3 linked regions of the Struthio camelus genome follow. The protein of the gene in region 2 interacts with the protein of the main gene of each other region in a pairwise test. Links are inferred from orthologs where the notes say so. Each region holds a gene or a part of one and is shown on either strand. Other genes may lie near its edges. The genes, in order: TOP3B, SSX2IP and MORN4.

Region 1 (3,744 bases), on a different chromosome or scaffold from region 2:
ATAGTCTGTTCTACTGTTCATTACATATGGCCAGTTATGTCTCAGCCCTGCAAATAAATGTCTATCATGGAGCATCCTGTGTCATCTTGTAGTATCGGTGCATTTGTTCATTTCTGTATCTCTGAACTAACTGTTAGTAATATTACTTAGCAACTACATGACACCGTACCTCTCTAACGTACTGTGTAAACAACTCAAGAATTAGTCCTCATCAAACTTGTGAGGTAGTTAGCATGAGAGGAAATAGTCACATGGCTAGTCCAATATTTCAAAGCAAGTTAGTGACCAGAACCCTTGCACATGACCCTTACCATATCTCCACTTTACCAAAATACACTACGATGTATTAGACAGTCTCCCTTTAGACTCTGCATTCCTTAATTATCTTTCCTTCAAGAACACCAAAACATTTTTACAGGCTGGCACACTGAGCTTCATATCCCCTTATTTTCTGGTAACATCACTGAGGCACAGAAAAGATAAGCGTTCTGCCTAAGGTGATACAAGAAGTCAGCTACAGAACTAGAAAGAAAAATCAGAACTGCTGACCATTAGTGACCCTTTCATCCCCATTTCCGCTCTAATGCTAACTCTCTGAGTCATTTTCACAATCAGCATTTTCCCACTAGAAGTCCCAAGACAGTTTTGCAAGCCATATCAGTTAAAAAAGGTTATGAACAGACACACACCTATGAAATCCAAAGTCATCACGTGACCACACACAGATGTCATCTTGAAATGGGCGCTCTGTCCTACAAATGATCCAGCGTACTCATGCACAGAACACGCACCATTCAGTCCTTTGCGAGAGGACATGTTTCCTGTGAGAAGAACATAAATATCAACAGGCTAAAAAAAACTATTCAAAGAAAGAGGCATTACCTCTTCTGAAATCAGCTACCTCCCCCCTTTTTTCTAGATCTCACAGGTACGGTCTTCCTGATCACAGGCTTCCACTCTTCAACCAAGTTCTTCTCCAGCCAGTTATCACTTTGGGCCTTTCTTAGCATATTTCATTTCCAGTTGAAATTATCCAGGATCTCCTCTGTGTTTTTCTTCCCACCAGGAAATTCTTATGAAAAGACTTCTTCTTTTCTGGATCAGTACAACTATACTCATTCTGTTTTCCATGACTTATAAGATATTTCAAAAATCTCAGAACAACAACTTGCTACTTAACCGGCGCTTTCCAGAAACCGTACGCACTAATGCACACTGCCGCTACACTAAATAAAAGCAGGCTCATTTACCCTGGGATTGAACAGGTGTTAGCAGACAAAAAAAAAAACAAAACAAAACCAAACAAAACGTGGAATGCCATCCAGGTACTTTATGGACTGGAACCCGTCCTACCACAGTGCTCTCAGTGACAGCTGCTCCAAAGACAAGAAAGCAGCTGTCCAGGGGGTTTCCCACCTCATTTCACCACGGGGAAGCCTTTGCATCATGTCCCTACTCAACCTACACGCATTTCCTCAGTAAAGCCTGGGAGTCCTAGAGGACTTAGACCGGCCGGACGACAAGCAGTAGGGCCGAAACCAACACGCTCTCGTCCCTACCCCGCGAGAGGATCTTGGCGATGGACTGAGCCAGGGAAGGTTTCTCTGCAACCATCAGCACGGTCTTCATTTTCAGCCGAGGAGACGCGCCACAGAGCTCGACGGTGCGATCTGGGTTTGCTGGAGGCCGCAGCGCTCAGCTCAGGGACGAAAACCTGCTCTCACGGGGTTAATTCTCACTCTAGGGAGAGAAAGCACAGAACAGCGTGTACTACAAAACCACCTCTAGGGGAAAAAACCCTAGGAGCGCTGCCAAAACTCGGCGCAAGGGCAGATTTCGCAGCTCCTAACGGCCCCGCAGGGGGCAGGGGCCGCCCCGGGGCGACCGGCGGCGCCACCGCCCTGAGCAGCGGCCGGGGCCCGCGCGCCTCAAGGGGCCCCGCGGGGCAGCCGCCCCCGGGCCGCGCCGGCCCCGCTCCGCTTCCCGCCGCCGGGCGCGGCCGCCCCTCAGGGGCCGCGGGTTCGAGTCCCCCGCGGGGAGGCGGCGGCGGGAAGCGGCCCGGCCTCACCGAGGTGAAGTGCGGGGCGGCGACTCCGCCCCCCCCTCCCCCCCGCTCCGTCCCGGCCGCCGCCGCTCCCGTCCCCGCCGCGCCACAACCTCAGCGGGCGGCCATCGCCTCCGCTTGCACTGCCGGGTCACGGAGCCGGAAGGCGCGGAGGGGGAGGTGGCCGGCGCCGCCCCGGGGGGAAGCGGGAAAGGGCGGGCGCGGCGCTCCCCGCCCCCTCGGCGGGAACCGCGCGGCTCCCCCCGCCCCTTCCCCGGCGCCCCCTGGCGGCGCGAGGGGCGGGCTGGGTGGAAATGGGGGGTGTATGGGGTGTGAGGGGGTTACGAGGGGTGTGTGTAGGGGTAAATGGGGTGTGTATGGGGCTTTGGCGTGTGCGTGAGGGGGTACATGGGGTGTGGGGGCGGTGGGAGTGAGAAGGAGCGCGGAGGGCAGGGAGGAGCGTGTGTGAAGGGGTGGGGGGGTGTGAGGAGGGTGCGTGGGTGAGGGATGTGAAGGGGCTGTGGGGGTGTGTGAGGGGGGTTGAAGGGGGGTGTGTGTGAGAGGGTGCGAGGAGGGTGTGAAGGGGGTGGGACGGGAGGGCGCCTGTGAGGGGGTTGTGGGGGAGGGCTGCGGGCTTTGCCATAAATCGGCCCCGGTGCTGGCGGGGTCTCGGCGTCGCCGCGTTTGCGTTCGTGCCGCTGGCTTCGCCGGCGCCGGAGGGCCAGGCCTCACCTCCTTCAGGTCTCGCTGCGGTGGCAACCTGCCTCTTCCAGCAGCAGGAGGCTGCTGTGGCCACCACCTGGCCTGGCCGAAACGTCCCCGTCCCCAGCACGACGGTCCGCGTCGACGTTTCCTCTCCAAGTCCGGTCAGAATGGCCTCGGGCAAGCTACGTGGCTTTACCTGCGTCTCCCTGACCGAATGCGAGCAGCCCTGCCAGCCACCCCGGCCGTGCTGGTTAATAACTCTTAATGCGCCTCATCAGGAGCTAGAGCGCCAGGAGTAGTCGCAGCCTCGTCCTTCGTTGTCGTGCTTTTTGCACGGCATAAAAAACGCTTTACATGCTGCTGCAAAATGAGCGCGAGACAAAGTGTGGGATCTCCGTGAGGGAAATAGAGAGCTACAAAGGCTCTGCTCCTTGCTGTTGGCCTCACCTGAAAAACTGTAAATAATCAAACCTGGTTTGATAAATCAAATCCAGTCTATTTATGGGTGCCTTGCAACCACCTTTGCCACAGCAGCCCGTGCCTCTATCCTTGTTGTAAGCCCCTTGCAGGGGAATTGAATACAGCAGAGAAGATAGCTAGTATTTTGTCTCTCAAAACATTAATTTCAGTCATAATGAACGAAAATTACTGACTTCAAAAGGAGAGCGCCATACAGGAGAGCTCCTGGGCACCTCCGCCTCTGCCCAGGAGAGGGCAGGTATACACACGTGCGCGCACCTCCCATCCTTGATCCTCGTCCTGTCTTCTTGCACAAGTAAACTAGATTCCACTAACAGATTTAACAGGAATGTTTCTAAATGCTTTGGTGATCCTCACAATAAGCATGCGAATGCAATTCCCAATAGGAATAGGAAATGGATAAGCTCACAATAGGGAATTGATATTAGATATTTACTGGACACCAAAGCACCAGAAAAATTTACCACCGCTGTTTCCTTCTCCCAGTCCATGCACAAAGTTCTTCCACTGGAACC
Region 2 (3,744 bases):
GCTTTTTTTTTTTTTTAGATATTTGTGATTATTTGCACTGAGTTCTCCGATATAACAGCTAAATGTAGAGAGAATATTGAACCAATAAAGGTAAGTTTACAGAGAATGGAGCTATTCTTTGGAGACTCAGGAGTCACTAGAAATTAAACCGTTTGCTGTATTAAAAATATTATTTTATTCACTTGAACCTGTTCTGTTCTCCTGATCTTTAAAAACAAAAACATAATTAAGGTCATAAAAATAGAATTAAGGTCGTAATTTTAAAAAGTTATTGTTAATTAACCTGGAAAGAAATGAGGGTGAAAATGTCACGTTATACAGGGCAAAATAGAAACTGATTACACCTTCCTGTACAAAAATGTAAAAACAAAGGGATGTGAGGTGAAATGAGACATCAGCAAGCTTATACCAACACACAAAATCGAGAATTAAATCTTACAGGCATACCTATGCATGATTCGCAGGATTTAATGTGCTTGGTTAGGAACGGGGTAGGTATCTGGAAAAATCAGTGAGGAAGTCACTGAGTCAGTAAAGGCTGTCGTCTTGCAAACGCAGGTAAAGAGGGTAATCGCATCTTACATAGCATGACTATTCAATTAATTTTACCGAGTTCTATTGGGTAATTTTACCAAAATTCCCACACACTGGGTGAGGTATGCTGGGTTATCGCCACTGCTGCTCGGCGGGCAGGGAGGAGCCGCGTGCTGTGGTGGTGCTCGACGCCCTCGCGGCAGGCAGGGCAGAGGCGCAGGCGCGACCTCGGGCCCGCCGGCCTGGACGCGCCTTGCTCTTGGCGAGTGCCAGGAATTCCTGGTGGGAGCCGATGGCTCGAGTCGGGAATGCCGTGGCTTCAGGCAGCGCCCAGCAATGGGCAGGATCAACTATGAAGTTTTCTAACTTCTTCAGGAGTGTATTATTGCAGAAACCTGAGTTTAGACTAGCGGAGTAGCAGCACGATACAGCGAAAGGCTTCCTATGTTTTTGTGTCCAGCTGCTCAAATAGTCTTCAGTAGTCTGACTAGTACGTGGGAAAGAAAAGCAGCACCATATTGTTACAGTCGAGGACAAGGGTTAACTCTTAGGATAGATTTTTCAAAACTGGTGACCGTTCCTGGGGGAAAAGGAGACCGCAGCGCGGGCCCAACGCGCGGCGAGCAGGCAACGCTCGGCGCGCGCGGCGCTCCCCTCAGCCCGGCTAACGGCCCTTTCCCCTCCCTCGCCCCCGCTCCTCCGCCCTCGGTCTCCGCCTCGCACCCACGCGCCTGCCAACAGGTGCCGAGAGCGGCCCAGGCGACGCGGGGCCCCCCGCGCCCTCCCGCCGTGGCTCTGCCCCGCCGCCCCGCGGCTGCGGTCGAGGTCGGGGTGGGGCCGAACGCGGTTTGGGGGGGGGGGGGGGGCGGAGCAGGTGTCGGCGCGGCCTCAGCCCCGGCCCCAGCCCGCCAGGGCGGTGCAGGCTCTTGTTGAAGGTCTCCTAGCAACTGCTCGGCCAATGGGAGTGGCGCTGAGGCGGGGGTGGGGGGGTTAACCCTGCGGGGCCCGGCGAGGGGCCGGAGCGGCGCTAGGTGTGGAGCGTGGAGCGGCGCTCGCTCGCTCGCTCGGGGGCCGGCTACCTCCCCCGTTCCTTCCCTCCTCGCCGCGGCCGCAGCAGGTGGTGCTACGCGGGGTGAGTGCGTAGCACTCCTCATCGGCGAGGCAGGAGGGTCCTGCGGAGAGCCCGCGGGGGGGGGGGGGGGGGGAGGGCGCTCCTGCCTGTGAGGCGCGGCAGTAACGGGCGCTCCGCGGACGTTGGTGAGGCGCGCGCGGGGGGGTGGGGGGAGGAGAGGGCGCGGGCCCCCGGCAGGCCGAGGCCGGGGCCGGTGCCGGAGTGCGGCGCGGGGCTGTGCCCCCCCCCCCCCCGGGCTGCCGAGGGAAACGGCGTCGCCACGGCCTGGGCTCCCCACGGGACGCTCCGTCCCCCGCGGCGCGCCGGGGGGGAGGGGCTGCGCCGCGCTGTGATGTTGTGGATCTTGACATGTGCCCCTTCTTGTCAGGCTCGGGCTAATCCGCAGGGACGGGGAGGGCTAGATTAGCTAGTCCGTCTGCAGTTTGCCGCCTGACCCCCCTGCCCTCCCTCCCCGAGGCCCAGCATTTTGTTGATCTCTATGCGCCTGCAGGCAGCAAACACTCGAAGAGGTGAGAGCCGTAAAGCTTTCTACTGAGTCAGTGAATTTCTGACAGCGTTTGGATTTAGCTGGTAGTTTGGTGTGATATAATAAGAGAGGATCCATAAAAGAGATTCTGGCTGCATTACCTTGGCCTTATTTTGGTTTAAAAATAAAGATTCTCCCCCCTGCAGCAAAACCCAGTTCAGTTTGAAGATCAAGTGGTAATATAAGATCACTTTATAGTATTGCTGCATTGCCTATTTATATAGAGCACTTCACTGTTTACTGTGCTGTCATGAAATAGTAGTTATGTGGCACACATATGCTATGATGGTATGATAGGAATTTCAGGGGAACAATTTAAAGAGGCATTGTGAAATAAAATCTAAACATATCAAGTAAATTTTAATGGCAAGTTTAGAAAAAAGGCACAGAGAAGTAAGTTTATGTCATTGATGGCAATTTCAGATGATAAGTAGCTGGGGGGAAAAGGCGTGATTTTCTGCTTTGGGGGAAAAAAACCCCATAGTATTAAAGTTGGCTGTCATTTGGACTGTAGAGAGGACAATACCAGAATTGGGTTCAATACCTTGTCTTGAAAGTGGCCGGCAGCAGATGCTAAGAGAAAGAGCATAAAATTAGAGGCTCGTTGTACAGTGGTGATTTTATGAGTGTATCCTCCCAGTTTACTGCAGTCTGCTGCTGAGGGATTTTTGAGCATAGGTTTGTTCTTGCTCTGTCTCTCTCTCTCGCTCTCTCTTTTAAACTTGATAGCTATTGATGAATATTTTTCCACGAATTTGTCTCTTTGTTTTTGGAGCCAGGTTACGTTTTTAGCATCCACGACATCTCTTGGTGATGTGAGTCCACAATTTATGTTTTCTGTAGGGGAATAATGCTCTCATTTATTTTCCAAATTTTACCTTGATTGTTTAATTTAATTCAGAATAGTTGTGTTAAGAGAAGCAATAAATACTTACTCTCTGTACATGTTTTTCGTACCTTTGTGCTGTTTCTCCATTTGTTTCTTCTCCTAGCTGAAAAGTCACAGCTTATTAACTCATTGCATGGGAGGATTGCTTTACCACCTTTGCACCATTTTCAGTTCTGCTCTTCCTTTTATAGAGGGAAATGTAAAACTGCATATGCTATTTACACTGGGGAAGCTTTATGTTTATAGAGTGACATAATGGTGTTCTCTTTTCTGTCCTCTGCTCCACTGTACTGTTGACTGCCTGTGAGTTTTACTTTCAGAGGAGTAGTCGTAGTGACCCTGAGATCTCATCCTGTGTGATAATTCCTAATGTAGAGCCTGTTATTTTAAGTACATGGCTGACTTCAGTATTTTCATTATGTATTAGTTTGTGTTTATGAACACTGAATTTCAGCTGCCAATTTTTATCATCTGTTTGCATAGGATGGGGACAGCCTTCTGCAGTTCTTTTCATTCAGTCTTAGTATTTATTTTTCTGAATAACTCTGTATCATAAGTGAGCTTTCTCACTTCACTGCTCATCACCTTTTTAAGTTTGTTGAGAGCAGAGGTGCCAGCACACAGTCTCTTTGAGACTCTAATTTCTTCTCTCTGGGACTCCCT
Region 3 (3,744 bases), on a different chromosome or scaffold from region 2:
TCAGAGCACCGTGGAGCAGTGAAAATGGATCAGCACCAGCAGCAGGGAAGGGGGAGCCAAGCCAGCCTGGAGGCCCAGCCAGCAGCTGGGGTAACCTCAACTGCCAGGACTGCAAGGAAGCACATCATGTAAGGTCCTAGCTGGGAGAGCTCAGGTCCTCAGCCTCCCAGAGGGAAGCAAGCACCTGACCCCATCTCAGAAGGTTTTCCTCAATGTCCTCAATCTTTCCCTTGCCCCAGCCTGTCCATCACAGCACTGCACTCCCTCCCACACCATCAGCAGGCAGGTTTCAGTGACCCTGGACAGCCCAGGAACAACACATGCACCTTATTCACAGCAGGATAGGCCAGGGAGACCGGCCTGGGATACAGCCAGGAGCACACAGACTTTGGCTCCTTGCACACTTCCTCCATCAGTCCTCACTGAGGCCTGGCATCCTCTCCCTACAGCCAGGCAACCACTGCCCTACAACCTCAGGGCAGCTTGTCCAGCTGCCCACACCAGCAACAACACCATGTCTCCTGTTGGGCAACAGAAGGCTGGCACAAAAGGAAGTTGCACACTCTCTGTATTGCCCCACAGACAGCGCAGCTGAGACCTGCCTGTGAGAGCTCCCTGCCTCCACCCAGGGCAGAAAAGCCAGAGCATAGCAAAGACACATGAGCCCAGTCCTGCTTCCTGGGAAGCACCCCAGCAGGCACTTGGCAAGGGAGTCACAGGAAGCAGCAGCAGCTCGAGTATTTGAGTTGGGCGCTGCAGGTCACAAGGCAAGCCATGCTGTGCTGCACACGCAACTAGCCAGTGGTGTGGAGATGGCTGCCAAGCAGATCTAAAGAGAGTCAGCTCTGCTGAGGACTTTGTGTTGAGTCAATCTCCCACACGCCCACAGAGGGGAACTCTTACTCCAGTCTCACAGACCAGAGAATGGTGCAGCCATCAAAGCCTCAGCCCTAAGGCTGAGGTCACCACAGTAAGCAGATGCTGATCGGCAGGAAGAAGCGGGCTGCGGAAGAGGGGGCAGCCTTCCTGCGGCTCCACTGCTCTCCGTGTGCGACGCCTTGCGGCGTTCCCAACCGAGGGAAGCCGCCCGGGGCTCCTGGCAGGACAGCCCCACGCTGCTCCTATCAATCCACAGAAGCCCAGATCGATGTCACGAGCTGACCCGGCCTGAGGGTGAGCACAGCCCTTGCACCGGCCAAGCCCTGCCCGAGGCGGGCCCTCCGCCAGGCCGGCACAGCACCCTCACCAGAGGCCTCTGCCAGGCTGCACCGGCGGCAGGGCAGGCAGGCAGCCAGCCCCGGGGGGCCTCTCCCGGGGGCGCGGGGAAGGGCCCGGGGCCCCGCCGGTGCCGGGCTCACCCCCTGCGGGTCCTTGACGAAGTAGCTGCCGCTGGAGCCCTGCGAGATGCGCTCGGGGTAGATGCCGCGCTCGCTGGCCAGCTCAGCCCGCCGCACCACCTCGGCGAACTCGGGGTCCTCGGGGAAGTCGTTCCGCTCCCGCTGAGCAGCCGCCGCCGCCGCCGCCGCCGCCGCCGCCGCCGCCTGGGCCTGAGCCTGGGCCTGGGCCTGCGCCGCCGCCGCCGCGCCGGGGCCGCGCGCGCCGCGCTCCAGCAGCGGCTGCCGCTCGCGGTCGCGGCCGCCGGGGGAGCCGGGCGGCGAGGGCGGGGGCGGGGGTGGCGGCGGCGGCAGCGGGGCGCGCACGGCGCCGCCGGGAAGCCCGTAGTCCGGGGCCTGCGCCCGCTCCGGCGACACCAGCGGGCTCGTCTCGTCCATGGCTCCCGCCGGGCCCGCGCGGCGCGCGCCGTCAGCTGACCGCCACTTCCGCCGCGTCACCGCCGCCGCGCCCCATTGGCCCGCCCGCCCGGCGTCCCGCCCCGCCCGCTCCCCATTGGCCCGGCCCCCTGCCCTGCGGGCCGCGGCCGTTGCCATGGGGACGCCGGCCCGCCATGGCGGCTGCCCCCGCTGCCGCCGCCGCCCCGTCCCACGCAGGAGACGCGGGTGCCTAGGGGAGCGCTGGGCCGCAGCGCGCTTGCGGGGAGGCCTGGCCTGTTAGAGCTCCCTTGCTCGCTCCGACAGGACCAGGGGTACCAGGAGGCGGGTGGAGCTAGTTCTGCAGAGGCAGAGGCCCAGAGCCAGAGGGCCAAGGCTCAGACCAGGCTCTTGCTGGCCGCCGATCTCCTCTAGTGCTTATCTCTGTTTCAGTATGTACTAGGTCAGATGTTGGTGCTTTCTGCAGGCTTTTCTGGCCTCGCACCAAAGACGGGCCTTGTGCGTTCAACAGCTTGTAACGCCAAGGGCCCTGCAGCTCGCACGCCCCCAGCACAGCTTCTCTCCCGCGCTGCTGGTAGCTTTGATCCATCCTCCCTTGCCCAGCTGTGCCGGACACCGGGGCCGCACGCCTCACGGCATTGGACGCTCTTCTGGGGGCGAGCTCACCTGCTGACTGCAGCGCTTGCCTGCCTTGTGTCCTTCCTACCGGCCTCCCCGAGGATGTGTGATTTGCTGCTTTTCCACCACCTCTCATCCAGGTGCGAAGGGGAAAAGCACTTTAGAAAAGAGAGCCGACACAGACTGCCTTGGCGGCCCCCTGCCCCACACAAAGATGGCCGCTCAGGAGTTGAAGGGGCGCCCCCCGCTGCCCTTCACAAAGATGGCGGTGTCTTGGGTTGGGGGCGGCGCCCCTCAGCGGTGGCACCGCCGGGGAGGAGATGATCTTGCCCCTCACAAAAATGGCGGCGGAGGAGAGGGGGCGTTAGAAAGCTGGCCAATGAGGAGCCGCGTTGCTAACAGTTGCCATGGATACAGCCAACGGCTTGCGGGGATGGATGCTGGCGGCGCTGCGCCGCCCGACGGGGCGGGGGGCTGGCAGGGAGGTGGCCGTGCCACCGCCCCTCGGCGGGACCCCGGTGGGGAGCGGTGCGGGCGGCGAGCGCGGAGCCAGGTGAGCGCTGGCGGCGGGTGCCGTGCGCCGCCCGGCCCGCCCCGGCGTGCCCGCCCCGCCCGTGGTGGTGGGCACCGGGCATCCGTGCATCGCCCCCGGGGCACGGCCCGCCTGGGGTGTGCACGCATCACTCCTGCGTGCATGGCCCGCGTGAGGTGTGCATGCATCACCCCTAGATGTAGGTGCATGGCCCGCGTGGGGTGTGCACGCATCACCCCTGGGTGCATAGCCCGCCTGGGGTGTGCAAGCATCACCCCTGGGTGCATGGCCTGCGTGGGGTGTGCATGCATCATCCCGGGTGCGTGGTCCGCGTGGGGTGTGCATGCATCACCCTGGATGCATTGCCTGCCTGGAATCTGCAAGCAACACCCCGGGTGCATAGCCCACGTGGGGTGTGCATGCATCACCCCGGGTGCATAGCCCGCGTGGGGTGTGCACGCATCACCCCTAGGTGCATGGCCCGCGTGGGGTGTGCATGCATCACCCCGGGTGCATTGCCTGCCTGGGGTCTGCAAGCATAGCATCACCCCTGGGTGCATGGTCCGCCTGGGGTATGCACGCATCACCCCTGCGTGCATGGCCTGCGTGGGGTGTGCATGCATCACCCCTGGGTGCGTGGCCCGCGTGGGGTTTGCACGCATCACCCCTGGGTTCATGGCCCACATGGGGTGTGCATGCATCACCCCTGGGTGCATGGCCCACGTGGGGTGTGCATGCATCACCCCTGGGTGCATGGCCCACGTGGGGTTTGCACGCATCTCCCCTGGGTGCATGGCCTGCATGGGGTGTGCATGCATCTCCCCT

Evidence for each region.
Region 1: the proteins of SSX2IP (region 2) and TOP3B interact in binary tests that used the Homo sapiens proteins (3 or more experiments, as listed by UniProt). The two-hybrid records come from large-scale screens. The link is inferred for Struthio camelus from reciprocal best matches to the Homo sapiens genes SSX2IP and TOP3B.
Region 3: the proteins of SSX2IP (region 2) and MORN4 interact in binary tests that used the Homo sapiens proteins (3 or more experiments, as listed by UniProt). The two-hybrid records come from large-scale screens. The link is inferred for Struthio camelus from reciprocal best matches to the Homo sapiens genes SSX2IP and MORN4.

What each region holds. Positions count from the first base shown.
Region 1 is NC_090958.1:10,358,707-10,362,450, reverse strand, and holds the start of TOP3B (DNA topoisomerase 3-beta-1), read right to left. Parts: upstream 2,252-3,744; 5' UTR 2,158-2,251; intron 1,741-2,157; 5' UTR 1,630-1,740; coding exon 1,560-1,629; intron 822-1,559; coding exon 690-821; intron 1-689. UniProt on the Homo sapiens protein: Releases the supercoiling and torsional tension of DNA introduced during the DNA replication and transcription by transiently cleaving and rejoining one strand of the DNA duplex.
Region 2 is NC_090949.1:21,546,795-21,550,538, forward strand, and holds the start of SSX2IP (afadin- and alpha-actinin-binding protein), read left to right. Parts: upstream 1-1,503; 5' UTR 1,504-1,666; intron 1,667-1,728; exon of another isoform or gene 1,729-1,791; intron 1,792-2,033; 5' UTR 2,034-2,175; intron 2,176-3,744. UniProt on the Homo sapiens protein: Belongs to an adhesion system, which plays a role in the organization of homotypic, interneuronal and heterotypic cell-cell adherens junctions (AJs).
Region 3 is NC_090948.1:17,027,508-17,031,251, reverse strand, and holds the start of MORN4 (MORN repeat-containing protein 4), read left to right. Parts: upstream 1-1,034; 5' UTR 1,035-1,173; intron 1,174-1,358; coding exon of another isoform or gene 1,359-1,772; exon of another isoform or gene 1,773-1,809; intron 1,810-2,866; exon of another isoform or gene 2,867-2,940; intron 2,941-3,744. Other genes in the region: PI4K2A (phosphatidylinositol 4-kinase type 2-alpha), read right to left, coding at 1,359-1,772. UniProt on the Homo sapiens protein: Plays a role in promoting axonal degeneration following neuronal injury by toxic insult or trauma.